Linked DNA regions of Stegostoma tigrinum. The main gene of each other region encodes a partner of the protein of the gene in region 4 in a complex. Links are inferred from orthologs where the notes say so. Each region holds a gene or a part of one and is shown on either strand. Other genes may lie near its edges.

Region 1 (7,147 bases), on a different chromosome or scaffold from region 4:
TTTGTTACTGCTAGACTTCACACCTGACCTCCCATCTGCCACTGGTCATAAATTTATGCTCATCCAGAACTCTGTCACTGTATCTAAACTTACACCAAGTTCCATTCACCTACTGCCATGCTGCTTGTTTCCCTGTGTGTCAACAGTAGGAAAAATTCCTGTCCTTATTTTCAAATCCCTCTATCCTCATGCCTCTACCTATCCCTGTAATCTCTACTGGTCCCTACAAGGAATAAAGTGAATGAACTGTAAGTATATGTCACTTCTGGTGGTATGGCATGGTTGTCATCACTGAATCATGGCTGCAAGATAGTCTGGGCTAGGAATTATAGCCTGGGCATGTAATATCTACAGAAGTGATTGGCAAGATGCTAGAGGACAAGAAGTGTCTTAAAAAATAAAATAAAATATATATAAAATAGTGCAAACACTCAAAAAAATATAATGAGAGATAAGCAAGCAGTGGAGACTTTATGACTGACAAATAGAAAAGAGTTCATGACTGAAGTATAAGTTGTGTCTTGGCCTTCTGGTAGCATCTGCAATACAGTAGGCTGTACAAAGGCTCAGACATAAAAATAGAGTGAAGGCATAGTAGCTTTCATTTTCACCTAGACTGGAATAAGTAGATTAGCATGTCAGAATTGTAGTGAATCTCATAACTGCATCTACAGAAATACATCTTTGAGAAAACACTGCGCAATATTAGATTCAATAAAACCAGACTTTAGTTAACAATCTAACAGCATACAAACATTTATCTAATGGCAATCAGAACGTGATTGAGTTCAACACAGTGTTCAAAGTGGAGAAATGAGAAATTGCTATTCAGATTCTAGATTTATACGACAGTCTTCAAAGGGATGAGTTTTAGTTATAAGTCAACCATAATAAACAAAACAAATCAAATCTGCTTTTTGTCAAATGTTTTAAGAGGTGGCAAGTCAGAAAACCAAGCAGCTGAATTTTCTGATGAAAGATAGTCAGCATTGTGGATGGAAGGTTAATTGTTGAGACCTTCCTCTATTTAATATTATACTTTGAAAATGTGAGGTGAGAGCTGAAGGTCGGCTTTGGGCTGTGAGCAGCAGCCTTCTTTGTAAAGCAAAACAATAATTGACTGATGCTTGTATACAAGGCCTGGCCTAAAAGTTAATTGCAGGTTGATTCTTGTTAAAAAGTGCTCTACAGATGCTTGCACTCCAGAGAAGCATTACGCTCAAACGAATGCCACATGTTTGCCTAGTAACAGAAGCCTCACAGACAACGAGAAACCAAAGTTCAAACTGGTTTTGAACTGTATTTAAGTCGGAAGGATTTTGGCTACCACAGCTACAGGATGATTAGATTGCTGCTTGAATGTTGTCTCATACTGAAAGTTCAGGCAATAGAGTTTCAGTTATCAGAACAAAAATAAATATTCCTCAAAGCTTACTGAAGGCTATGCGCATACATCAGCATCTTCAGAAATCAAGCAAGATACAATCTCATGAGCCCGTAATGTTCTAATTGTGGAGGCTGCTTAAATGAACTGGCCAGTTACAACTCTTTTTTTTTTCTTTTTTGATTTATCTCTTAACTGTGTCTTTTTATCTTTGAGTGAGGGGCTGGAATCAAAGAAAATTAGTCTTAAAACACAGATATTAATTGGATTACATTGTGGCTTAAATTTGCTCTGATAAAGCTACTGTATTATTTAAAAATTGTGGCATGTTTTGTTTAAGCTTTAAACATGGTGTCTCAGTGTTGTGATTATTCAAAACATCTGGTTAGAAACCATTGGGGTCTACTGAGGTTCAGTGACTATTTTAATTTTCTGTGTTGTGGATACAGGGATAGGGATGATTTGGCTGGGTGTCTCTGTGTCATAACATAATATTACATAGAAATCAACAGATGAAGTGAATGGGTTAAACTGTGTCAAACGCATTTCAACTTGGCAAGCAAATATGAAACCATCCACCATGGGCCAAAACAAAAAGAGGTCAAGGAACAGTACTTACTGAAATACTAAAAAGCTAGAGATAGTACAGATCAAAATAGCTTTGGGAAATTCAGGTCCATAAATTATTGAAGTTTCACGAACAGGTACAGAACATAATCATAAAGTTGAATGGAATGCTGGCTTCTGTATGCAGAGGATTAAAATGCAAATTGGCAGATGGAACACTTTTGCAACGAAAAGGACAAATCCTTCTCCTATCTAGCTTCATACTGAAAACTACTGGGCACAAGTAGCTCGGATGCTTATCTTCCCCACAGAAACATGCTAAATGGAAGATCAGGCTAAATTAGATACGTCACCAGCCAGGTGACAGAGGAGACACACCGAAAGAACAAGCCTGCTTCCTGGTGGGATCCAACCAGTACATTTGAAACATTACAATATGAGAAGACAGAACGACAAGTTAACTAACATGTACGTACATTTTATATTTAATTTTGATTTTTTTTAAAAACCAAAGAACTCGAAATATTTTAAATTTTCACTAACATGATTTTGTTCCTTACAATTCACCTATGCCCAATCTGATGTTGCAGACTTATCTTCAACTGCACTTGCTCTAGGTCAAGAAATTAAGTAGTGCAATTAGAGGCTTTACCTGCAGCTTTGGGGGTTGAGAAGTTACATTCCCTGTCCAGGGTCCCTCCTTGGGAGGATTTCAAAGGCATATGAACCCTCCTGGAATGAGAAGCCAGGCTGAGTTCCAGATATGCACGATGACTATTCATTCTCTAAATGAGCATTCCGCAATGGATTTGCCAAAACGTCCTGTGATATACACTTACCGCCTTACTGAGATCATGAGGTAAATAGGCCCAGTAGGGATTGAACTGGATGCAGTAATCTTTTGTATTTCCATGTTCCTTATCAGATAGGACGTGGACCATTCCATACTCAGTCACCACCTGCATATTTCAGGGTAAAGTGCATCAGCAAAGCAACTCCAGAATGTATAAACAATGCCAGCCCACGTATGTCTCAAACCCACAAATAACTCAGTTCCTGAATTAACGCACTACATTTTGCGCAAGATGACTAACTGCACAATTACGCTCTTCATTTCCATTTTGATCATTGTTAATGATTTAATTCACTGTCAACAATACTGAGATAAAAGTTTCCTTGATCCAAGAGAAGAGAATATTCTACCACAAATGACGCATTTGAACCATGCATTGGAATTAACAGCCGGTTCAAGGGACTGTTTTTTGAAGGCCAGTGATTGCAATGACACATACTCTGCCCCACTCAGTGATGCAGGGAGAGGAGTAAGGGGTTAGGACATGAAGAAAAGTGCCCCAAGGGGGGGAAACATGGGGACTGTTGGAGGGGAGAGAAAGGGTTTGCGAGGATTAGGATGACAGGGAGAATTCGGATAGTAGTTGGAGCCAATAGAGGATGGTCTATAGTTAAAGGGGAATGGGGGAATAGCAGAGAAGTGTGGGGGTGTTTGTGGGAGGATTGGGGAGATTGCGGGGGATTTGGGGAGATTGAGCAGTGAGAACAATTGAGGGGCAAGGGATGGGGGATAGCGGGGGATGCAGGGATTGCAGAGGAGAATGGGGGAATAGCAGGGTGTGTGGGGTTTTGCAGAGAGGATGGGGAGACTGCGGTGGGGTGTGGGGGAGTGGGGAGACTGCAGGGTTGGAGTATGGTGATGTTGTGGGGGACAGGATGGGGTGATTGGATGGTGAGGATTGTGAAGGAAGGTGTATGGGGAATAGTGGGGGGGGAGCAGATTGGGTAGAAAGGAAAGAGGGAGATGCAGAGCTGGCCTGGGGCTGAGGGTGACAGGTGTCTAGTCGGGTCCTGGGACTTGGGGGACGGGGAGAAGGAATGGGGTGCCGGCCCGGCCCCCGGGCTGATACCTGACTGAGCTGAAGGACGAACAGCAGCAGCCTCACTCCCAGCGCCATCTTTCGGATGAGGTTCGGACCCCTCCAGAGACCACAATGGTAGCGTCCACTCAGGGTCCGAACAATCCAAACACACAAAAATAGGGGGAGCCTATTTTGAGGAAAGCCGGCGGCGAACGGCCGATTAACTTCGGTTTTGACTGGAGACCCAGAAGCGGCCGGTGCCGAGGGGAGGGACCCCTGACGGTGAGGGGCGGGGCAATGGGGCGGAGACAGCCGGAACTCGGGTCGGCTGCCGAGGTTAAAGGTCATGGGGTTGTGGGGTTAGAGGTCGTGGCCGTGATGATGGCGGTGAGTGTGTGTGTGCGGTCTTTGCTGGTGGCTGAGTTTTAAAATCTCGGGGGTTGTGTTTGGGGAAAAGAAGGCCTGTTAATGGCCCACTGGAGCCTCCGGTTACATTTATTATCTAATTCTTTCCTTGGGCCTATGAAAGTGGAACACCGGTTTTGTTATAACCCCCCCCCCCCCCCCCCCAATTTGGCGGTTTGTTCGTGGCCGTGTCAGAATCTCTGAGTGGGACCAGGTCGATTTAGCTGTCACGGAAACCTTGCGGGCTATCGGAGGCTCGGGTACCGATCACGAGAAGCTCGGATTGCAAGAATCGGGTTCTAACTTTCTTTGTTTTTGTTTCTTTGAATTCAGGATAAGGAGAAGAAAAAGAAGGAGAGTATTCTCGACCTCTCCAAGTACATAGACAAAACAATCCGTGTGAAATTTCAAGGTGGACGAGAAGGTGCAGTTTTTTAAAATTTCGTCTATATATGTTACGTAAGGTTGACTTTTACCAGACTACAACAGCTGTAGTCTTTCCCCAACCAAAATAGGCAGGCTGTTTGGACAAACGTGGTTGAGTTTGGGAAAGGCTTAGGGGCTAGGAGCAGGTAGGTGGGACTGGTTTTAGTTTGGAATTGTAGTCCACATGGACTGCCTGGACCGAATGGTCTCTTTCTGTGATTGGGAAAGATAAAAGAACTGTGATACAAATTGTATCAAACCAATAAAAAGTCAGTATAAACCACATCTTATTCCTTTAGGAGTAGTGCTGTAAGTATTGTTTTACTACTTAGTTTAAGCTGGTCAGAGGCTCCTGTAAATTCTTCAATTTGGTTAAAAAGCTGCTGAGGTCAACTTCAAAATGACTAGAATCTCTAACAATAATCTTTCACCTTCAAGACAATGAATTGGGAAATGATGTAGATACTACACTTACTGAAGAATTGTTTTAGTTCTTTGCTGTTAAATTCATAAGGTAAAATGACTTCAACTGAGAATTTGAAGCTTTACTGTTTCAGAACAGTTTCATTGGTTGTTACTGAAGTCTGCTTTGGGAAAGTTTGGGTGTTGAAGGGGAAAACAGTAAAAGATCTTGTGTATTTTGAGGTAATGTATGTTTTGACTCTTGTATAGTGTCTGATGTTGTAGTTCACTTGAAATTTGGTGAAATGTGTTTGGTTTTTTTTTGACAGCTAGTGGGATTCTGAAAGGATTTGACCCACTCCTCAATCTTGTATTGGATGGAACAATAGAGTATGTGAGAGGTAAGCCCCAAAGATGTTCCTAGTTTTTATAACTTGATGGACAATCTATGAAACAAAAATTGTGAAGTGTATTCTAGACTACAAAAGTGTAGAGTTGGATGGACACAGCAGGATCCGAGGAGCAGGAAGGCTGACATTTTGGGCCCAGCATCTGCAGTTCCTACTATCTCTGTCTGTAAAGTGACTTCCAGTTTTTCTGATTTGAAAAACATTGTATGACTTTTGATTTTAGTTTTTTTTTGCATAGCTCCTCTTCTCTTTATCATCTTCCCTTCTAAACACTTTTGTATGCAGCTTAATTTTCAGCTGTATTTTCTACCTGCTAGTTACCATAAACACTTTTTTTTTCTGTTTTTTTTATCCAAAGAGCTCTGGATTTTTCTTTTGCTGTATTTTTGTGAGGAAATATACATTGTGCCAGAACCCTTTTTTTTTTGTTTTAATCTATCTTTTGGAAGGCATCTTATTGCACATGTAATCTTTCACTCTGCCCTTTTGATCCAGACTAACAAGAACAAGTCTGTTCTTGCCCCATTAAAGTCTGCTCTGTCTAATTATCCTTAGTTTGCTTTGTCTCTTGTTGCCACGGTCCTCCCAAATTTCATGATACAATGATCACTGTACCTTTTTTTAAAGGTTACCCTACTGATACTACTTCCTAAGAAGTAAGTCCAGCAGTGCTTTCTTTTTTAACTTGTTGCATTGATGTACTGCTGTTGGAAATTCTTTTAAATGCATTCCAAGAATGTATGTTTGTTTGCTTTTCTCTTTTTCCTAACTACCACTATTCCAACTTCAATTGGAGTAATTGAAATCTCCCACATACTCTTTGCTTGCATTATTCTGTAATTTCCTTACTGATTTGTTCCTCTACATCCCTATTACTAACTGGTGGCCTGTAAACTACACCCAGCAATATAATGGACTCCCCTTGTACCTTTTGCTCCAGCCAAGTTGATTCTGTCCTTGAAGCCTTTTTTTTCCTCCCAAGCAGCTGTCCTTCACCAAGATTACCACTGCGTTGCTTTCTTGCTTTACCCTCTCCCTGTAACTAGGAATGTTTAGTACTTAGTTCAGCCTTTCCTTTGCCCAGCCTGTTATTGCCACAGTATTATAACTCAATGTGGCGATCTGTACTTGTAACTTGTCAATCCTGTTTACTTCCATTCATATGCACAGTTGTAATTTCTCCCTTTAATCCAGTTATTAATTTGTTCTACACTCTAATCTTTTAATGAGCTTTCTAAATTCTTACTACAGGACTACATCACCACTCATTTCTACATAAATACCAATGTAGACCATGATCTGCAGTTGAACGCATCCCTCGGGAAGAATGTCCTGTAATTACTTTGTGACATTCTTGATTCTAACACCTGTGAAAGAAAATGCATTGCTGGCATCACATCTTTGACTGCAGAAATGTCTCTAGTCTCCTAACAAATCAGTTCCTTTTTAACTGCTGCTTTCCCCCTTTTCCTTCCTTCCCTCCCAAATAGCTGGCTCACTCATGTTGCCATAGGCTTAGCATCTCCTCTGAAAACCTTTACCATTATCAGAATGAAAACTGATTCTTGAGTTAAACCCCTGCATTGTCTTCCTGGTTCTCTTGGACTGTCTGATAGTCACATGTTCCTGATCTGCCTGCATGCCTCTAACCTACACTTATACTGGCTCTGTGAACATGC
Region 2 (7,636 bases), about 40 Mb from region 4:
TAAAAAATTGATTATACACTAAACAATAACACATTTTAAATAGAATGAGAAATGTCTAAATGTTTTGTGCAATATAGTTGGAAATAAAATATGCCTAACCTAGTTGGTAAATAAGACTGCATACAAGTGGTTCAAAATTTGAAAAGTACAAGATTACAAAATGCAAAGCACCAGACACCCAACAATACTATTTATTTGAGGGAGTAAGGGAAATCTCTAAATGCAGAGGTCAGGTTGAAGCCTTCTGATGGAGATTCTCTATTAATATTAATAAAACAATTGGTATATTTCTCAGTAAAATGATAAAACACAAATCACACAACTGTGTCAACAGCTGAGTAGCAACCATCTACCATCATACCACTTAAGGACTCAGTATGTTCCCTATACGTTACAGCATTCCTAGGCCAAAGCCAAGTACTTAAATGTTGAGGCTTTCTGATTTTATTGCACTTTATGACCGTGAATTCCATACCCCACCCTTTTGACTGAAGAATTTTCACCCTAAATCCCCTCTAAGCTTACTACTGCTTAACCATTAATCTATGCCTCTGGTTAAGAGTATTTAACAAAGAGAAAAGGGGCATTCCTATAATGTGGACAGGCATGCTTTTGGCCCTCCTAAGCCCTATTTATACAAAGAAAGCAATCCTAGCCCAACCAATAATGTCTCAAAATTATATTTATTCAGTCCAAGGAGGAACTCGACTAATCTCCCTTATGTCAGTGACCAGAATTGCACAGAACTATGGGCCAACTAGTATTTGTCCAATTCTAGCACAACAAGGGCTAAGTATGAATACAAATCCCAGAATCATGCATCAAGCAGGGCATTTTGTTGTAGAAAATGCCAAATAAAAGGATACTGACAAAATCTTGTATCTTATACTTTGCCTAAAAGGAAACGTCCTACTTGACCAACTCATCTATATGTCAACAGATGTCTGAAGATGGCAGAGAATTGAGTGAGGGAGAGGAGGGATAAAACGGATTTTCAGGTGGGAAAGGAAAGAACAAAGAGAAAGACATGGAATGAACAGGCAGGTGGAGAGGGGCTGATGGGAAAAGGCTGAGGTGGTGAGCCAGCAGGCATGATGGCAGTACAGAAGCAGAGGTCAGGGAAGAGATAGCAGGAGTTGAATGGGGCGGATGAGACCTAGGAGGTCTGGATGTTTAAAGAGTTGATGGTGAGGTGGGTGGGTATTATTAGACAACATTGCTCAATTCCCTTTTACTTTTCAGCATCTATTGCACATTTCTTTGCCCTGTTAGTCTTTCAAAACACATTACTACCCCTCTGAATTCAAAACCACTTGCTTTAGCAACTATTATTGTCAGTTAACTAAACTGGACATCTGAAGGGCTAAGTAGGAATACAAATCCCAAAATCATGCATCCAGGGCATTTTGTTGTAGAAAATGCCAAATAAAAGGATACTGACAAAATCATCAAAACCAAGAAGTGTTCCTACAATCTCCTTATCATTTTTCATAACAATATGAATCCGTGAGCCAATGCATTTGTCCACCAACTCTGGAATAGAAGAAAAAAGTTAGATGTAGAATGTGAAGAGAGATCAAAGACATTGTAGTTAAATAAACAGCCCTTTGACAACACCTTCTAAACCCTTGACACTTAGCACCTCAAAGGGGCAGCAAATAAACAGGAACAAGCACCTCCTGCAGGATCCCCATCCAGTCACAGACTGTACACACTTTGTACCCGAAAAGCCTTGTCTTCACTATCAGTGGGTCAAAATCATAGAACACCCTTCCTAACAGGACTCTGCGTGTACCTAGATAATAAAATGTGAGGCTGGATGAACACAGCAGGCCAAGCAGCATCTCAGGAGCACAAAAGCTGACGTTTCGGGCCTAGACCCTGCTCTCTGATGAAGGGTCTAGGCCCGAAACGTCAGCTTTTGTGCTCCTGAGATGCTGCTTGGCCTGCTGTGTTCATCCAGCCTCACATTTTATTATCTTGGGATTCTCCAGCATCTGCAGTTCCCATTATCTCTGTGTGTACCTACACCACAATGATTGCAATAAGATAGCAGCTCAAAACCACCTGAAGGCAACTAGAAATCAGCAACAAATGCTGACATAGGGTGCCCTCTTGTGGTGTAGGGGCAGTTTCCCTACCCTTGAACCTGGAAGTCCCACCTGCTCCAGAAGTGTATGTTAACTGGTTGAAGGTAGGCTAAATAACTTGCTTTCCTTAAAACGCTGGCTTAGCCAGTGATGCCCACACCCAATGATTTTTTAAAACAAGGTATGTTCACTAGAGAGCAAATTCAGTTTACCTATTCAGGTAGCTAGAGTCTCATCACACTTCCATTCAAATGATACCAAGTCTCAGCTAATATTCACTTCACCACCCCTCTCAAATTATTTCACATCGACATCGTTACTTTTAACTCCGTACACCCATTACTATCTCTTCCTTAACCTCTGTATCTCCCCCCCCAACCTAACTGCCTGTCCCCTTTCTCTCCACCTCAGCCTTCTCCTCTCTCCCACACTTAATTCCTTCACGCCAAACCAAGGTCCGTCACGTTCAACTTTCCTTCTACCGTTTTGTCAATTCCTCATCCCCAACACCCCCTTCTCGTCTCCCGCATCGCTTTGCCATTCCCTTAGGCCATTGCTCCATATCCTGTCTCCCTTACTCCATCCCAGCTCAACTCTCTTCCTTTTCCCCATTAATTTGTCCACTTCTCCCCGGTTCATTCAGCCTGCATTTCCCATTCCATCCATTTGCCTTCACCCTTCCACCCCGCTCGAGCTGCCCTCCTAATTCGCGCTTTCTTCCATAGCCAATTTCACCCAAGTTTTCTACCCCCACGGCCAAACTCCCACCATTTCCTCCCCCTCCTTAAGATGTCAGGCCGGGGAAAGGTGGGGGTGTAGGTAACCGGCTCCATGCGAGTTCTTACCTAGAGGCAACAGCTGGGACGGATTCGTTGCATTCAGCGCCATCTTGACCAAGAGGGCAGCAACTCCGCGCCTGCGCACGGCCCGGGCCAATCGGAGCGCGCGCGCCGGCCGGCGACGGTGCGTGATGACATCAGGGGAGACGGAGCAGCCAATCAACGGCGGGCCCCACGGTTGCCGCGGAAACCACTCGATGAGGGCCTCAGGCCTGACGGAAAGTAGGGGGAACGCACCCCAGAGACGGGCTCATCCCCTGACTGGCTATGGATCATCTTTCATATCCTCCGTCTCTCAAACCCCACCCGCCGCGTCTCACGTTTAATTGCCCACTCACGCCGCAGAAGTTCACCCCCACACCCCAGCTAGCAGCTGCTGCTGAACGCCCCGGGAATACCTTAGCGGGCCTTGCGGTTAACGCTTCAGCTTGAAGACCCGATGCGAGGCAGGAGGACAGCTTGGAGCAAACGGCTGGAATGATTCAACGGGAACCGGGGTGGTGTAAAGGACAGGTAAAGACCAAAGACGTGTCAGTTTGAAAACTATAGTAATCTCCACTAGCCGCTGTTAATCCAGGGCCATATACTTTTGCAAATAAAAACAGAACGGGGGTGCTTTTGTTCAGTACTGACAGCTACACAAATAACGGTGGTCCAGGTGTACAGGAGAAATCTCTCCTCTTAGAGCAAGGGGCGTAGTTTTATGGTGAGGAGCAGCAAGTATAGAGGGGATTTCACTCTGCACCTGAGAGGTTGTGGATATCTACAACTCTCCGTCTAAAACGGCGGCAGAGGAAGGAATCCTCGAGACACTGAGCTATTTAAATGGGTACTTGAAAGAGAAGTACTAGATAACGGGAGAATAGATTAATGTTTGAGAAGCACGGCACAATGGACCCAAAGACGTGCTTTCATGCTGTAAAGCTTTCATGACTCAAGCCCTGTTGCAGTTATTCTAGACCCTACTTAAACTACACCTGAAGTATCATGTGCTGGGATCTGCGCTTCAGGAATGATTTTTGACCTTAAGTGCAGCATAGCTTTGCCACGATAATGCCTCCACTCCAGGTGTTACACTTTTAGATTTTACAAACAAGGGTTGGTTTTGTTTTGGAATTTAGATGCTTGAGGAGTGATTAGATTTAAGCTTTCAAGCTATTGAAAGGTAACAGATGTGGTAGGAAGAAACAATTTCTGGTACAGAGTCTTACATTAGAGAGTATTGTCCACATGTTAGACTATCCAGCACTTTATTGCGTTCTGGTGTTGAGAATAAGGAAACACCGTTTCAAAAGTTTACTGAGAAAGCTGCCCTCTGAGCACAAAGGGCTCAATTCTTTGAATTGTCTTCCATCAGGTGAAACTGAGGTTTGACATTAGTTATTTTTCTCAAAACATACCACCCAGAATATTCATAAGTCAACCTTTAAGGCTTCCAAAAAGTTTGAAAGTTGGAGCTGACTTACCTGCTGAATATAAAATGTGAACAGCTGGTTTGAGCATTCATGTTTGCCCTTTTGAAATGTGTAAAAAAAAAGTAAACATACAAAATAAATGTAACTGCTTGTTGAATAAATTAATTTTACAAGAGTTAAATAAACAAATGTTAAAAGCTGTCAAGTCATTGTCTTTTACAATGTAAAGAATTCAATTTGATATCGTAAGGATCCCCTTCAAGATCAAATAGGGTAATTTTGATTTCAGGTTTATCTATACACAACAAATCACTAAGTTTGTTTTACAACAATCCAATTATTTGACAGTTATACACTAATAACATCCTATTAATGATAACGCAGATACAAGAAGATATATTTCTAATCTTTGTGCAAGTTATTCTGCTTTTATCGTATCCAGAAGTGCACTTACACACAAAACTGAACAGTTTTTTTTCCTCCCTAACACCAAATAACACTCCTCATCTATTAACTAGCACCAGTAAATCATAGTATTCAAGTGGAAACATAATTTATTCATTAAGTGCAAATCAGCAAAGGTGAGGGAGAGCAGGAAGGGGACAAATTAAAATGGAGTTGGAAGGTGAAGTAAAATACTGTACCCCTGCCATGCCTCAGTGATAATGGGAACTGCAGATGCTGGAGAATCCAAGATAACAAAACGTGGAGCTGGATGAACACAGCAGGCCAAGCTGCTTGGCTTGCTGTGTTCATCCAGCTCCACACTTTGTTATCTTGGATTCTCCAGCATCTGCAGTTCCCATTATCACTGATACAATTTTAACCTCACTGCGAAGCCTCTTCCAGGGATGCCTAACCTGAAGAAGTTACCCTCCTCCCTCCGGACCAGCCTCAGGGAATCTCTCGCCCACTACAACTCTGTTGTAACCTCTTCAGCCTTGCAACCGCTGGACCATGTCCTGAAGTAATCACGTTTGGACATCGAGCAGTTTTTAACCTGTCTGTCTTCCCTGGACTGACCTATCCCCTCCCTACCTCCTCACCTATACTCTCCTCTGTATCTAATATAATAAAACATGAGGCTGGATAAACACAGCAGGCCCAGCAGCATCTCGGGAGCACAAAAGCTGACGTTTCGGGCCTAGACCCTTCGTCAAAGAGGGGAATGGGGTGAAGGTTCTGGAATAAATAGGGAGAGAGGGGGAGGCGGACCGAAGATGGAGAGAAAAGAAGATAGGTGGAGAGGAGAGTAGAGGTGGGGAGGGGATAGGTCAGTTCAGAGAAGATGGACAGCTCAAGGTGGTGGGATGAGGTTAGTAGGTAGGAGATGGAGGTGTGGCTTGGGGTGGGAGGAAGAACAGGTTAGGGAGGCAGAGACAGGTCGGACTGGTTTTAGGATGCAGTGGGTAGAGGGGAAGAGCTGGGCTGGTTGTGTGGTGCAGTGGGTGGAGGGGAAGAGCAGGGCTGGTTGTGTGGTGCAGTGGGTGGAGGGGAAGAGCAGGGCTGGTTGTGTGGTGCAGTGGGTGGAGGGGATGAACTGGGCTGGTTTTGGGATGCGGTGGGGGAAGGGGTGATTTTGAAGCTGGTGAAGTCTCTATCTCTCCTCTCTACCTATCTTCTTTTCTCTCTATCTTCAGTCCGCCTCCCCCACTCTCCCTATTTATTCCAGTTCCCTCTCCCCATTTCTGATGAAGGGTCCAGGGCCGAAACGTCAGCTTTTGTGCTCCTGAGATGCTGCTGGGCCTGCTGTGTTCATCCAGCTCCACACTTTGTTACCCCTGCAATGCCTACCTCTTTCAGGCATAAAGAGTATTGGTGGACACCATGTGCTCCCTCTGCAAGAGCATCCCAGCACGAATGTATCTACAAAGGAGGGGTGTACAGTCAACAACTATCACCACTCCAGAGTTGCTGCCTGGACCTGTTAATAGCTAACTTGGCCAGGCCCAGGAGCAGACGCTCAAGGATTTCTGACTTGGCTGCAACCCTTCACACTAAATGCCCAAGGGTCAAGATTGTGGAGCTGAGGTGCAGTCAAAATCACAGTGAAGGACTGAAGGTTATTCTCCAAACATCTCGTTATCTGATTCATTATGAACATGATTTTTTGAATGGCCTTTTGAGGTTTGTAGTGAAGACTGAACTGAAGACATTGGACTCTGAATAGTATTTGCAATTTGGTAATTATTTCTTCTCATGTGTGCCTTAATCTCATCAGTAATCAAATCAGAATTCAAATTCCACCCCGTGCCACGACTGGGATATATCCCAACTGGATGGGATTGCATTTAATTAAGCATTTAATTGCCAAATCAATTACCTTCATCATATCCACTGACTTGATTATCACATTCCTAAATTGGTTGCATCCTCCTCATAAGGAACAAATGTGCAAATCAATCATCAGGTGCCTAAGCCATGTCCTCTATCTCCACAAAAACTATTGTCATCCATCTTTAATTGCCTCACTTTTACTTTGCCTGTAGTTTTATTCTTCATACCTTTATAAGGAAAAAAAACTTCACCCCATTCCCTTTTATGATACCCACTGATCTTATTGCAGTCATTCTCTTTGCAACTCTTATGTGCTTATAATCTCCCTCAGAACTCCTTGTATTCAGCTTGGTTTTCTACCATATTGTTAACCTGATATCTAAGTCTACTTTCACTTTTAATTTGAAGCTCAACTTTTGAGGAAGCGGTGCACTTCTGTTTCCCCTCAGGAATGTATATCGTTTGCACAGTCTACTTCACCTTGAAGTGCATCAATTTATTTTACTGTTTAGCTTTCCAGACTTTGTATTAATTCACATGGGCCAATCTCTTTCAACTGACCGAATGAAGCCCTCTTAGTTATGAACCTCCATTATGACTTTTCCTTGTTTTTTTTTTGCATGGAAATAATCCCTAGTTCCAACTCATCTGTGCAAACCAGATATCCTAAATTATTATAGTCCCTTGAAAGGGTTCAGAAAAGATTTATGAGGCTGTAGGGAGCGTCAGAGTAGGTTGGGGCTATATTCTCTGGAGTGTAGAGGCTGAGGGGTGATCTTACAGAAATTTACAAATTCAGGAGGGGCATGGATAGGGTGAATAGTGAAGGTCTTTTCCCCAAAAGTGGGGAGTCCAGCACTAAAGGGCATTGGTGTAGAGTGAAAGAAGAAAAATTTAAAAGGGATCTAAGGGGAACTTTTATGCACAGAAGGTAGTTCATGTATGGAATGAACTGCCAGAGGAAGTGGTGGAGTCTGGTACAATTACAACATTTAAAAGGCATCTGGATGGGTAT
Region 3 (6,968 bases), on a different chromosome or scaffold from region 4:
GGTGCCTCCAAAGTCTGTTCACTCTCTGACCGAACTTCTACTCAGGACTGCTCCTATAGTTTATTAGCTCCTGATCCAATCTGTAATTATCCAAGTTTGATTCATGTTCCAGCTGTATGCAGCTCATGCTCAATTTTGCGTGTCTCTAACCAGGTCTGAAATGCCTTTTACCATTGATAGTCATCATAGCCTCAATTGGACGAGTACGCTGGAAATAAAGCGCCACAATTTAATGAGTCAGGACAAATATGAACTGTGACTAATATATTACTCGTTAAAGTCTTGTTGTGACCATTATCTAAGATTAAAAAAAAAGTTTCATTAACAAATATATTTGTTATAAAATCATCTACCAAGCTGTAAAATGGATTATTAATTGCTAATATGAAAACTTAAGCTACTGACTGCTTTAAACCTAAAGATATAAACATTCATATACAGGACTGATAAGACAAAAAGTTTCAGGAATATTGTGGGTGGAAACTATAGAAGAAAGGAACAAAGTCTGCAGATTAAGAGTTCAAATCGATAGGTAGAATGTCAGTTATTTTGTTGTGATTGGTTGGCTCGTTGAGCTTGTTCATTAGTTCACAGACTAACCCCTGCTGGCTAACATCATCAGTGCAGCCTCTGATGAAGCGCTATTGTGTTTTCCTGCCTGGTATTTAAACTCTGGGGTCTGTTGGATTTGGTTTTCCTTTGCAGTGGTGTGTGTATAGGGTTTGGTTCTATGTGTTTTGTTGATGGCCTTCTTGGTGGAGAACTAGGCCTCTAGGAATTTTTGTGCTTGTCTCTATTCGGCCTGTTCTAGGACCCTGGTGTTGTCCCAATCAAACTGGTGGTTCTCCTTATCCATGTGAATGGAGGTGATTTTGCATTGGTCATGTCTTTTTGTTGCTAGTTAGTGTTCATGTACTTTTGTGACCAATTTTCTTCTTGTCTGTCCAGTGTAATGTTTGTTGCAGTTCTTGCATGGAATTTTGTGTATTATGTTGGTTCTGTCCATAGTGGGTACTTGGTCTTTGGTTCAGGTGAGCAGTTGGCATAGGGTTGATGTGGGTTTGTGTGCTACTCTGATGCCCAGTAGTCATAGGAATCTTGTGGTCAGTCTGGATATGTTCTTGATGTATGGTAGTGTGATGAGTGTGTTAGGGTGTGCAGTAAACTCCCTGTTGTCTGTGTGATAGGCATCATCTGATCCAGTTGTTTGGGTATCTGTTGTCCTTGGATACTTGGAAGTATTCTTCTTCTTTTTGGAGTAGTTCCGGGTTGCTATGGTGTGTGGTCGCTTGCTTAAATAGTGTTTTCATGCAACATTATTTGTGGGTGTTAGGGTGGTTACTGTTGAAATTCAGTACTTGGTCAGTGTGTATGGCTTGTCTGTGTACCTTCATCAGGAATTCCCCATCGGTCCTACGTTTTACCATGGTGTCTAGGAGTGGGAGCTGTTCGTTCTTCTTCCCTGGTGAATTTGATCCCGGTGAGAGTGTTGTTTATTAGTTGGTGTGTCTCCTCTAGTTTGGTCTGTTTAATGATGACAAAAGTGTCGTACGCTTATCGGATCCATAGTGTGGGTTGGATTTGTGGGAGGGCCATGCATCACCGCTTCTGCTATTAGTCAGGAGATAAGCGATCCCATGTGTGTGCCATAATCTGTTCATAGATATGGTCATTAAAGATAAAGTTGATCATGAGGCATAGGTCTTGTAATTCCAGCATGTTGTCTGTGGAGATGGTGTCACTCGGGCCTCATTCTTATAATAGTGTTGCTTGTGTTTCTCTTGCCAGTGGTGTGTCAATGTGAATAGGGTGGTAACGTCAAAGGACACCATCTTCTCATCATCAACTGTTCTTATATCCTTGAAGGAACTGAGGAACTCCTGGGCTGAATAGATTGAGTGGGGTGACTTGCTGATGAGGTACTTTAGTCTTTGTTGTAACTCCTTGACTAACCTGTGTGTTGGTATGCCTGGGAGGGAGACTACAGGTCTATGGGGTACTTCCAATTTGTGTACATTTGGGAGGACATAGAATCGGGGCTGTAGAATTGTCCCTTCTGGTTTCATTTTTAGGTAGTCCATTTTGTTGATTTGTCCGGTCTGTTTGAGTCTCTTCGGTGTTTTGATTATTTTATCACCCAGTTGGGATGTTGCATCTGTGTGCACTTGCCAGTATGTATTCATGTCTGCTAGTAGTGTCCGTGCTTTAGTGAGGGAGCCCCGTTTGTTTAGTATTACTATCATACACCCTTTGTCTGCTGATATATAATGATGTTTTTGTCTTTTTTCAGTCCTTCTAGGGCCTTCCTTTCTGATGTGTTCAGAGTGTCAAGTTCGCTCCTTCTGGTCAATGTTGAGATCACTGTCTGCATTATGGCTTGTTGTAAACATCCTGAAAAGTGTGTAGTGATGCATTTTGTGGGGACTAATAAGACAATGAGTACAATTTTAATTTAAATGGTGGGACAAGGAAATACAGAGGACCAGAGGGACCTTTACGTATATGCCCATGGATCCTTAAATGCAGCAGGACACGTAGATAAGGTGGTTATGAAGACGTATGAGATACTTGCCAACAGTATTAAACGGTAGCCATGACATTGAGGTGCCTAGGTTGGACTGGGGTGGACAAAGTCACAAGTCACATGACACCAGGTTACAGACTAACAAGTTTATTTTAAACCACAAACTTTTGGAGCGTTGCACTTCACCTGATGAAGGAGCTGTGCTGCAAAAGCTTGTGATTTCAAACAAACTTGTTGGACTATAACCTGATGTTGTGTAACTTCTGACTACCGTATTAAAGTCACTAGAGGTTTCAAGGAGTTTACGATAGAGCTATATACGATGTGGCCAGTTTGACTATAGCCACGACAGGCCAGAACAGTCCCTTTGGCCCATCTAATCTGCACCGACCTATTTATACTATCCCAAATCCCAGCACCTGGTTTATAGCTCTGAATTCTCTGACATTGCAAGTACAGATCCCTATCCTTTTCAAAGGTTGAGGTTTCCTGCCTCTACTGCCCACTCCAGATCCCCACAATCTTCTGGATGAAAGTATCTCTCTTCCAATCCTCCCAAAAGCTTCACATTCACATCAGCAGCAGGTGGTGCTGGCCTCGATTACTGCCGCCTGGCTGGGCGCTGTCTCGGCTCTCGGCTGCTCGGGCCTGTTTACCCAGCAGCCCTGGCGGTGTGAGCGGGAATTTCCGGCCGGAGCCGCCGCTGTGCAGCAACATGACCTCGGCTCTGGAGACCTACATCAACCGTATCCTGCTGGAGGAGCAGCACGGGGCGGGGGGGATCACTGTACCCGGAGCTCCCTCCCCCTGGGGGGGGGGGGGGAATCACTACCCGGCGCTCCCTCCCTCTGGGGGGGGGATCACTGTACCCGGCGCTCCCTCCCTCTGGAGGGGGGATCACTGTACCCGGCGCTCCCTCCCTCTGGAGGGGGATCACTTGTACCCGGCGCTCCCTCCCTCTGGGGGGATCACTGTACCCGGCGCTCCCTCCCTCTGGAGGGGGGATCACTGTACCCGGCGCTCCCTCCCTCTGGAGGGGGGATCACTTGTACCCGGCGCTCCCTCCCTCTGGGGGGATCACTGTACCCGGCGCTCCCTCCCTCTGGAGGGGGGATCACTGTACCCGGCGCTCCCTCCCTCTGGAGGGGGGATCACTTGTACCCGGCGCTCCCTCCCTCTGGAGGGGGGATCACTTGTACCCGGCGCTCCCTCCCTCTGGGAGGTGGATCACTGTACCCGGCGCTCCCTCCCTCTGGGGGGGGGGGGGATCACTGTACCCGGCGCTCCCTCCCTCTTGGGTGGGGGGAGGCGATCGATGTATCTCATTGAGTATTTTCCCCCACCTGGCTTCATTAACCTCCGTAATTCCTGATGGTTGTTGCACAAAACTGCAGCCACGTTTAATAATACCACAAGAGGATTCCTTTTGTATGGAAATAATATTGAATGACCTTGATAGCGATTGCACTGAATGTGTCACAGTGCGGAAGACATTTGCTTGCCTTCAGGCGGGTGTTCAATGAAAGTGTTTGTTTATATGCATTTCCAGACTCTCAGTGTTGGGCTCTGACTGTAAAGGGGTCGTTGTACACGATTCAGGATGTTTTGCTGCAATTGCGCGGGGCTTTGGGGTGAGATTGCACCTGGTGCATTGTTTTTATTTTGCTCTAAAGAGGGGGTGCAATAGAAGTTCGCCAGATTGAACATTCAGATGGGATTGTCCTGCCTGGACAGATTCAATCAATCAGGCCGATATTCCGTTGAATGTAGAATAATGAAGCATTATCTCCAAGCATTTCAAGATATTAAAGGGGCTTGATAGGATAGACATTGAGAAGTTATTTTCCCCAACTAATGTAGAACTGGAAGCTTAGTGTCAGGATGAAGGGTAAGCCATTTCTTCACGTCATATAACAAGGTGTAGAGCTGGATGAACACAGCAGGCCAAGCAGCATCAGAGGTGCAGGGAGGGCCTAGGCCCGAAACGTCAGCTTTCCTGCTTCTCTGATCTGCTTGGCCTGCTTTGTTCATCCAGCTCTACACCATGTTATCTCAGATTCTCCAGCATCTGCAGTTCCTATTATCTCTTCACTTGTGAGCCTTTCTTTTGTCCCAAAGCACTGTGGATACATGCTCAATGAGTATACTCATCCTAAATAACAAAAATCATGGTGATGTAATCAAGGGACAAAAATAGGGTGACAGAGTGTAATTTTTAAGTCAAATATTAGCCAATATCTTTTTCAATGTAGTTTGAGGAGTCAAATGGCCTACTACTGTTATTACTTCACATTTCGGACATTGCTGTCTGCTAGAGAGTAAATGTTTGGATGTAATTCAGAATTAGAACTCAAATTTGTGTCAATAGATTTAATGCTAAATTGCCCTTGGGGAAGCTGTGAAGTATTATTTTCCTTGTAAATTGATTCATGACTTGATGGTCCAATTATTTTAATGTGCTGAGTCAAAATATAATTTTTTTGGCACAGTAATGTTTAATTATTTCTGTTTCATAGTAATATCCTTTCAGATATTGTAGTAAAGCTGTTTCTGCATTATAGTGTCATGGTAGAAGTTTACCAGTATCATAGCTGTAGTGTTGAAGTCATGTGTGATGATGTTCTGTTTCCCTTGTAAGTTAACACTAGGTGGAGAAATGATATTGCTGCATATTAACAGAATGTTTTCTGCCAAACAATCGATTCTGGGACTATCTTAGCTGGCCTGTTCTTAAATTGGGTCTTGCACATAGAATGATAAACTTTGTATTCAAAGCTGTTGCTCACATGGTTGTTACAGAATCAGTTAGAATGGTGGAATGTGCTTGATCTGTTTCTAGATACCTCACTACAACTTGCAACTTTAAAAATTTACTTTTTTCTATGCATCAATTAGAACTATACTTCTTAAGCATATTTGCAGTCATTCTCAAAGGGTATCCAGTGTAGTCTTTTCATGTTTAAGAATTTTCACTTGGGTTCAGTTTTTCTTGTCGTGATAAGTGTGGCACCAGTTGGAGGGATATGATGAATTTTCAAAAATACGTACTTCAGTCAGCCTCAAAGTTTCTGGGTTATTTTAAGTAATTTTAGAAAAGGGAGCACTTTTTTGTTCAATTTTTGTTTTGTGCTGATGTCACTCAGGATGCAATTTCCAGCTCTGACATCTTTCATCTAGAACATGCCCCAGTGCATCTAACAGAGGGCTAAAAACAATAATTGGAGAGTATGAAAAGTAAAGCTAGACATATACCTTTATAGGATTTTATAGATGGAGAGTAGCGGGTGAGTGGTGTTTTGAGAGTAATGGAGTGATTGCTGAAGTGTGAGGAGTCCATGTGCGTGTGCTTGGGTGATTGAATTAGGATGTATACAGTGGAGATGCCATGCGTCTACAAGATTTTGATTGAGAAGTATGAGACAGGATGGTGATGAAACTGAATAACGTGGATGATAGAAGAATGGGTGGTGGGGTTTTGTAGTTGATAAAGGGTGACAATGAAAACTTGAGGTTTTTAGTTGCAGTATAAGTGAAAGAAAGAGTGACGATGAATGATGCCATGGGTCTAGCATTAAACTGCTATAGCAACTGTTTAGATGTGGGATTTGAACTTCAGGATTAAATGCAAAACTAACATTGTGAAGTTATGGTTCACGCAGAGTGAATAGATCAACAGGGAATGGAGTTGTGGTTGGGAGGCTAATGGTAAAACAAGAATTTTTGCTTGAATCTTTGTAATGTCAATTTGGAAAATATTCTGTCTATTCATAATCTTGTCCATCTAATTAATATTGGGCAATGTGAGAATAGTGGGGGTGGATGTGGAAACATTGATAAAGAAAGAGCTGGCTGTTGGCAAAAGTGGAAATTGACCTATGGCTATGGATCTTTTTAATTCTTTCATGGAGTATGAATGTTACAGGTAAATTCAGCATTTATTGCCTATCCATATTGTCATTGAGAAGGTGGTGCTGATCTTAAGGAAGAGATGCAAAAATCAACATATTACCTTAACTTGTGTCTTCAGGAACAGTTGCAGTGGTTACAGCAGATGGAAGAATGATTGTGGTGAGTTAATCTTCATTTTGGAGATCTTACTAATCAATTATAAATCTTGGTTATTAATATAACAGTTGTGGAATTCCAGAAGAAATATGAAAATCTAATTCTTCCAGGTCAGCATAACTTGCGTTTGTACTGAAGACTTCAAATGAACCAGCAGACTCAGTTTTATACTTGAAATTGTCCAGGTTTCACTCAGTTGGAGAGACTTCCTGGTTGCTTTATGTACTGGTTCTGAGAAGGTGGGATTTCACCAGGCTCAGGAGCATGCAGAGCAGCAAGTTTTACAATCTGCTTTCTTTGCAAACATGGGGCAAAACAAAAGAGGAGCAGACTGCTCAAATATTGAGTGAGGCTGCAATCTGTGGTGTTTATTTATGCT
Region 4 (7,770 bases):
CTTGACTTCAAGGCCATATTAACAAAGTGTGGCATCAAGGAGCCCTAGCAAAAGTTGAATTAGTAGGTATCTGGGGGCAAGTTGTCTGCTGGTTGGAGTCAAAACAGGCACATAGGAAAATGTTTATGGCTCCAGGACATCTCTGCAGGATTTGCTCAGAGTAGTGTCCTCGGTCTGACCATCTTTAGCTGCTTCAACAATGACCTTCGCTCCATCATAAAGTCTGAAACAGGGATGTTCGCCAATGATTGCACCATGCTCAGCGCCATTTGCAACTTCTCAGATATTGAAACAAACTATGTTCAAATGCATCAAGATCTGGACAATATCCAGGCTGGGGCTAACAAGTGGCTAGTAGTATTCAACACCACAGAAATGCCAGGCAATGACCATCTCCAATAAGAGATGTTATTACATCACTGAATCCCCCACAATCAACATCCCGGGGGTTACCACTGAACACAAACTCAACTGGACTTGCGCATGAAGACAGTGGCTACAACAGCATCAGAGACTAGGAATACTGTGATGAGTAACTCACCTCCTGACTTCCTAAAACTTATCCATCAACTAAAAGGCACAAGTCAGGAGTGTGACAGAAAACTCCTGACTTGCCTGGATGGGTGCAGCTGCAACATTTTATCATTCAGGATAAAGCAGCCCACTTGATCAGCACATCAACATATATCCATTCTCTCCACCGACACTTAGTGGCAGCATGTACTATCAACAAGATGCACTGTGGAAATTCACTAAAGATCCACAGACAGCACCTTCCAAACTCACAACCACTTCCTTCTAGAAGGACGAAGGCAGCAGAAAAATGGGAACACTACGCTCTGCAAAATTTCCCTTCAAGCCACTCACCATCCTGATGAGAAAATATATTGCTGTTCCTTCAGTCTCTAGGCCAAAATACTGGAATTCCCTCCCTAAGGGCATTGTGCATCAACCTACAGCACATAGACTGTAACAGTTCAAGAAGGCATCTTAACACCACCTTTTCAAGGGAAACTAGGGATGGGCAATAAATGCTGCCTGAATAGCAATGCCCATATCCCACAAATGAATAGAAGAAATTTATATAGTTCTAACATTGTATTTAACCGAATACAACTTTACCTAACGCTGGGTGCACTTGCTGATGTTTATGAAGGCTTACCTTTTCAGCAATACTATACAAGACCTCATCCATCTTCATACAAGTTGGATCCCAATCATGACCAAAGCGAATGACAACGACACGATCCTCCTCTGACAGGATGGCCTGGTCTACTTGCCAGCCATTGTGGAGATGTGGCAGCATATACGACATTGCGGCAAAGAGTTGCACTATTTCTACTACCCCTTTATATGACAAAACCAAAAAAATGAGTTAAACCACTTCTAGACTAGAAAGAAAAATGTTAGTCTTATGAATAAAAGCTCTGTGCTCACAGAAATAGTACAGTTCTTAAGACTCGGGCAGACTGACGTAAATAAATAATAGCTTGGGCCTTTGGAGGTTTTAAAAAACAGAATCATGACGGTTGTAAAGCAATTAACAACCTGTATTTTGATTGTTTTTGACCCTGTAAAACTTCCCATAAATATGACAAAATAAAGTCTGCCACCAAGCCACATAAAGAGGGATTTTAGTACTTAGGCCCAAAACCTTGTTCAAAGGGCAAGTTTCAAAGCAAGTCTTAAAGTAGGAAGGGAGGTGTGTGGAAGAGTGACTGAGAGGTTTAAGAAAGGCGTTCCAGAGCTTAGGGCCTTGGCAGCCAAAGGCACAGTCACAAGCTGTTGGAGGAGTCAATGTTGGGATGCTCAAGACACCTGAAGAAAGGAGTACAGCAATCATTTATGTCGGGGTGAGGGAGCCTCTGAAGGATTGGAAATACATGTTCATTTATAACTCATAACCTACATAATACTTATAGAATATAACCTCCTTACTGTTCCGTGCTATATGTTAATCAAATTGGTTAGAATCGCTATGAAGTCTGCATTTTACAAAACGTAACATTGTCGTTGAAAACACATGTTCCAATTCCAAGGAATGAAACAGCAACAATCCACTTTTAAGTTTTCAAACAGTAACCAACTGATTCTCTATCATATTGCATATTCTTTGGTCATATTTCTGCAGAGGCTACAAGTTACAAAATACAGAAATCTCCACGAATTAAGTTTGGGCGATTCCTCAGCACTCATTCCTGTCACCTGGCAAACTTTCATGGCTTTCGATCATGTTTCTGAGGGGCTGCTTACAGTGTCTGATATCAATGAAACTGGAGTGGGCTGGACAGTTGAGATGGATGTAAACACCAAAGTTGATTAAAAATGATCTTTGTTTTGTGGTGACAATCAGCAATGTCCCTCTTGAGAAGGGCAAGTGGTCACTTTTATTTTGATTTAATTGGGGAGGATGGAGGGGGAAGAGAAATGGTGTCATTTCTCTTACTCTAAAAGCCCACCTTCAGGGGTTATTATAGGGCCCTAACCTCTGGGCCTGGAGGACCGGATAGAATTCCCCTGGCCCTGTGCCACAAGGCGTGCGATGACACCTCTGAACGGGTTAATTAGAAAGTTAAATGAGTTAGAAGGCCTCCAGCGATCCAGGAGTGACAGTGAAGTTTACAAAGTGCCCTGAATCAACTCAGTAACCATGGCGGGTAATTGCCTCTTCCTTTACCAGGAAAAAAGACAGGCGGACAGCGGAGGTGAAAGAAACTCTTAAACAACCAACCCCCTGAGAGCTAACTGATGGTGTTTAATAGTAACCCCGGTGTGTATCTGAATGACTGAGAGTTATGTGGGGGGGAATAGTCAGAGACAGTAAACCTGCCTCATCTGTATCGCTGGAAATACTCGACTGAACAGGAGCGAGTGTGTTTGTGTGTATTAGGCGGGCTCACCTCAGACACCAATCCCCGGGAATGACACCGAGCAAGGGCGCCTCACCCCGGCCCCAGCTCCGGCTGCAGGGCCTCTGACAACCAAGATGGCGACCGCCGGTAAGGGGACGGGCCGCATGCGCGGGATCACTGGGCCAATGGGGAAAGCCTCGCGATGTTTCCCCGTGTCCCTCTGCCGGTGAAGTGACAGGTTGCATTGTGGCGGACCTTGTAGCAATGTACTGGCAATTTGTCACCACTGGAGGGCAGCCAAGTGCAAGGGATGCAACAGCGCGTTTGTACACGGCAAGCCCACTGCCCCGTCATAATGTCCAGACGATTTGTCTTTTGTAATATGAGCTCAGGGAATAAATATTGTTTGGGATATGGGAGATAACACTTCTTTCAAATAATGGCACCGAATCCTTTACATCCAAGCAAGAGTTGATGTTTCAACTAAATGATGGCGTCTCAGACAGTGCAGCACTGCCTCAGTATTGCATATGTCAGTGTAGGGATTTGGAAAGATGTTCAAACACTCAGATTCAGAGGTAATGATGCTGGAAGGCTGATGGCAACATTGATAGAGTCCATGCTGACTAGATATCCTATATAAATCTAGTCCCATTTGCAAGCGTTTGGCCCATATCCTTCTAAACTCTCTAGGCCCAAAATGTTAGGTTTTGTGCTCCGAAGATGCTGCTTGGCCTGCTGTGTTCGTCCAGCTCCACACTTTGTTATCTCCTTCTAAACTCTTTCTATTCATGAAGTCATCCAGAGGCATTTTAAATGTGATCATTGCACCCACCTCCACCACTTCCTCTGGCAGCTCATTGCTGACACACACCACCCTCTGCATGAAAAAGTTGCCCGTTAGGTTTCTTTTAAATCCTTTCCCTCTCACCTTAAACCTATGCCCTCTAGTTTTGGGCATTGTTGACAAAGTAGCTGAATATGATTGTCATAGATTGGATTCCCTTTAATCGGCAAATATTTTTAGATACCTTGCTGAAAAATAAAATTTGAAGCAGTTTTTTTCAAGCTGAGTGATATACGATGACCGGTTAAAATGCTAATGGGTCCTTCATTTCATCATTTTCACTTACACAGCTGGATGCCAGACTTGTATGTGTTTTTGTGAAACAATAATGGATTTGTGGTGGTAATCATCTATGTCCTGGGACAAAATAACTTCACTAAATTGCAATCAGAATTCTTTCCATGGTTCTCATGAAAATCAAAATTCCTCTGAATGTGATTTATTCAGTTGTGCAATGACTTTACATATAACTTTGAATGCTGGGAAACTGGTTCATCTACTATGACTATGTGCTACTATCCATCCTACCTCATTCCAGTTCATCACCAAGTAAGAAAACACAGTAGAACTTGTTCCTATTTTAAAGTGCTTAGCTTTAATTCAAATTTGCAGACCCCAATGGAAGATGTTGTAGATTGTAACTCATCTCACGTTGGTACTAATAGCAACAATCCTTTTAATTTGAGGGCATGATTCATCCAGAACAAGAAATTAGAGTTTGGGTTAGGGTTAGAGAAATTCATAGGGACTGCTGTTTTTCTTATTCAAAAGGAAATTCTGCTGAGCATGATAAATTTGCCCATCTGCAGTGGCCCAAGGTTCAAAGAAAAATATGCTTGCTCATAATTTAGTTTACTCCATTTTGTTAGAGTGCAGTCTGCTAATGTGTGGCACAGATCTGGCATGGTTAGGATCAGTTTCCTCTTGATTGTACAGGAAACATGGTATCAGGAGGAGATTATTCACCCTCAGGAACCTAATCCATCATTAAATGACTTTGTGATTGATCCGTACATTCTTATCCTTAAGTTCTCCATACAAAAGCAGATCTGACCACAGCACAGCAATCTCTCACCCACCTCCTCCCTCCCCAGGCAGAGCAAGAAAGCAGGTTGTGAAGCCACCCCACCCAAAATGGGAATTGACCCCGATTTTATTCTAATTTATATATTAACTCCATTTACATAACCCTTTGTACCCTCTTCTAAGAAAAGCCTGTCAAATTTGGTTTAAAAATTTTTAATTGATCTACTTTAGGAGAGGCTTTGTGACCAGCCATATAAATACCAACTAGGTGAGAGGCTGAGAATTCTGTGGCACGTAACTCACCTCTTGAATCCTCAAAGCCTCCCAGCCATCTACAACGCACAAGTCAGCAGCATGCTGAAATACTCCCCACTTGCCTGGTTGGTTGCAGGTCCAACAGCATTTCAAGAGCCTCAGCACTATCCAAAGCAATGTGAACTGTTAAATTGAGTTCTGGATTTTTACTGGCACTCCTCTTTGAGGTCAGTCATGGGTGCCCTTGCTTTGCCATTCCTAGATCAACGATCATCTGGCTCAGTGTCTGCACAGAGGTAATTATGCCAAGGTGGAAAAGCTAACTTTTTTGCACGTGTATGGTGGAGGGTGATTAACAATAAGCTGAAGATAAAAGCGACAAACCAGTTTGAGATGAATGAGGAGGACTAAGATATTCACATTCACAGATTAGGGCCATTTCTGTGCTGTGATCAGGAGAAATCTAATTTGAGAGCCAAAACTACAGATTTGTCGGAAAATAGGCACATATTTGGGAGGTTCAAGAAATTTGGAGATAGGCAGAGAGATTGGTGATAGTGTGGCTTCCAAGGACAGTAAAGTAGTTTTTTTTTAGGATGGATATGATTTTGACAGTTTTAAAATGGAGGGCAATTGTATCCACAAAAAGAGGACTATTTATATTAGGAGATAACATTGGCATTATGAGGGGAGGTTAGATCGCAATTGATCAGAATGGAGTCAAGAATGCTTAGGGCTTAACCACACAGAGAAACACATATCCACCATTCATTGCCATTTTCATTTTATTTAACTCCCTATGTTTATTATCACCCATATATATTTCAGCTTTCCCACAGCCTGAGTATCTCAGTTCAGCTTTTTGCCCTTTTATCCCATCTAATTTGGAACCCACGTTCCATTTACACTTTTGTATCCGACATTTTTGCCACATTGTCATAAATGCTGTCCTCTTCCTTTTCCTCATCATGGAATCAGAGAATTGTAGGCCACTGAGGAGGCCATTTGGACCTTTCTACTTGTGCTAGTTTCCTGAAAGTCAACCAATACACTCCCTGCTCTTTCATCGTAGCTCTGAAATGTTCTTCTTTTCAAGCACCTAAGTGGTCCTTGCAAAGTTACTACTGATAATAAAATGTGAGGCTGGATGAACACAGCAGGCCAAGCAGCATCTCAGGAGCACAAAAGCTCCTGAGATGCTGCTTGGCCTGCTGTGTTCATCCAGCCTCACATTTTATTATCTTGGAATTCTCCAGCATCTGCAGTTCCCATTATCTCTGATACCAAAGTTACTACTGAATCTGCTTCCACTGTCTGTTCATATCTTTTCCAGATAAACGATTCTTTAAAAAAATCCCTCCTGACAGCACCTGGAATTTTGGTTTAGTAAGAATCCTGATAACAAAATGAAGGTCTCACTGCTCTATCCCTCAATCTGTGAATATTTTTTCGGTTTTAATAATGTTGAGTGCCTTTTATGTATGAACATAGATGAATTTAGCAGTAAATGTCGTGAAATATTTATTGAAAACATTAGATGGCGCTATATACCAAGCTATGAGACCTTTAACAGCGGCACTGTTTCAGTTTCTCATGTATTTATTGTGTTCTATACTTACCTTTTGTAAATAAATCACTGAAATGTTTGAAGGCACGTCTTAGCTGTACCTAATGTGAAGATGCTAATGTTGATGACAATGATAAGCATGAAAACTGAACATTAAAGAGCAGCGCAGCAACTAAGCCCATCTCCGTGGAGAAATGAAACGATTGCATTTGTTTGTGAAACTTCTGTCAGAAGTGGAAACTCGTGTATAGAGCCTGCTCTGGCAGTTTCGCTCATGCAAGTTGAACGTACGGAAGGACACACTTGTTCCTATACGAAGTGCTATTAAGGTTCACCAGACTGATTCCTGGGATGAGAATATACGAGCAGACATTGAGTAAATTAAACATCAATGTAGACTTCAACTGTCCCTCTGGAAGGTATTTGCCAATCTGTCAACTCCGGCTATTGAAGTCTCCTCTAGGCCCCTCTGACTAGCCCTGTGAAATACTTTTTCATAAATGATGTTGCGTCTCATAGAAACAAAGAAACTATGAGCAGGATCCTTAGAGCCGGCACCTCCATTCATTGGGATCATGGCTGATCCTCTGTTTCAATGCTGCTCTCTCCTTCTAACCCTTGGAGCATTTGATTTCTGAAAATATATCTATTTCTTTCTTCAATATATTCAGTGAGTTGGCCTGCATTGTCTTCTGTGATAGCAAATTTCACAGAGTCACTACCCTTGGAGTGTTAAAAAAAACTTTTCCTCACCTCAGTCCTGAATGGTCTAGCCCACATTCTGAGACTGTATCCCTCATTCTGGACTCTCCAATCACAGAGAACATTCTCCCTGCATCTAGTCTGTTAAGCCCTGGTAAAGTATTACATTTATCAAGGAGATCACCTCTCATTGTTCTAAATTCTAGTGACTACAAGCGCAGTTGAACCAATCTAACCGCAAAGGACAGTCCTGCTATCCTCAGTATCAACATAGTGAATCTTTGCTGCACTCTGTCTATGGCAAATACCTTCTTTCTTACATAGGCAGACGAAAACTGAATGCAATACTCCAGGACTGATCTCAGCAAGGCCCTGTTCAATTGCAGTAAGAAAGTCTTACTTCTGCACCCAAATGCTTTCTACATGATACTAGCGCTTGTCAAAAACATCCAACCCATGTTGAGGATAGCAAATGTGGTTCCCCTGTTCAAGAAGGGGAGTAGAGACAACCCTGGTAATTA

What was found.
Region 1: txnl4a (region 4) and lsm7 share a complex: the UniProt entries of both Homo sapiens proteins name them as parts of the precatalytic spliceosome. The link is inferred for Stegostoma tigrinum from reciprocal best matches to the Homo sapiens genes TXNL4A and LSM7.
Region 2: txnl4a (region 4) and lsm5 share a complex: the UniProt entries of both Homo sapiens proteins name them as parts of the precatalytic spliceosome. The link is inferred for Stegostoma tigrinum from reciprocal best matches to the Homo sapiens genes TXNL4A and LSM5.
Region 3: txnl4a (region 4) and lsm8 share a complex: the UniProt entries of both Homo sapiens proteins name them as parts of the precatalytic spliceosome. The link is inferred for Stegostoma tigrinum from reciprocal best matches to the Homo sapiens genes TXNL4A and LSM8.

What each region holds. Positions count from the first base shown.
Region 1 is NC_081383.1:26,726,024-26,733,170, forward strand, and holds the start of lsm7 (U6 snRNA-associated Sm-like protein LSm7), read left to right. Parts: upstream 1-4,136; 5' UTR 4,137-4,203; coding exon 4,204-4,212; intron 4,213-4,563; coding exon 4,564-4,654; intron 4,655-5,387; coding exon 5,388-5,459; intron 5,460-7,147. Other genes in the region: sppl2 (signal peptide peptidase-like 2), read right to left, coding at 2,791-2,910, 3,874-3,921. UniProt on the Homo sapiens protein: Plays a role in pre-mRNA splicing as component of the U4/U6-U5 tri-snRNP complex that is involved in spliceosome assembly, and as component of the precatalytic spliceosome (spliceosome B complex).
Region 2 is NC_081358.1:3,935,160-3,942,795, reverse strand, and holds the start of lsm5 (U6 snRNA-associated Sm-like protein LSm5), read right to left. Parts: upstream 3,018-7,636; 5' UTR 2,979-3,017; coding exon 2,936-2,978; intron 1,534-2,935; coding exon 1,438-1,533; intron 1-1,437. UniProt on the Homo sapiens protein: Plays a role in pre-mRNA splicing as component of the U4/U6-U5 tri-snRNP complex that is involved in spliceosome assembly, and as component of the precatalytic spliceosome (spliceosome B complex).
Region 3 is NC_081371.1:35,184,486-35,191,453, forward strand, and holds the start of lsm8 (LSM8 homolog, U6 small nuclear RNA associated), read left to right. Parts: upstream 1-3,954; 5' UTR 3,955-4,124; coding exon 4,125-4,155; intron 4,156-6,551; coding exon 6,552-6,592; intron 6,593-6,968. UniProt on the Homo sapiens protein: Plays a role in pre-mRNA splicing as component of the U4/U6-U5 tri-snRNP complex that is involved in spliceosome assembly, and as component of the precatalytic spliceosome (spliceosome B complex).
Region 4 is NC_081358.1:44,278,091-44,285,860, forward strand, and holds the start of txnl4a (thioredoxin-like protein 4A), read right to left. Parts: upstream 3,011-7,770; 5' UTR 2,901-3,010; intron 1,348-2,900; 5' UTR 1,316-1,347; coding exon 1,163-1,315; intron 1-1,162. UniProt on the Homo sapiens protein: Plays a role in pre-mRNA splicing as component of the U5 snRNP and U4/U6-U5 tri-snRNP complexes that are involved in spliceosome assembly, and as component of the precatalytic spliceosome (spliceosome B complex).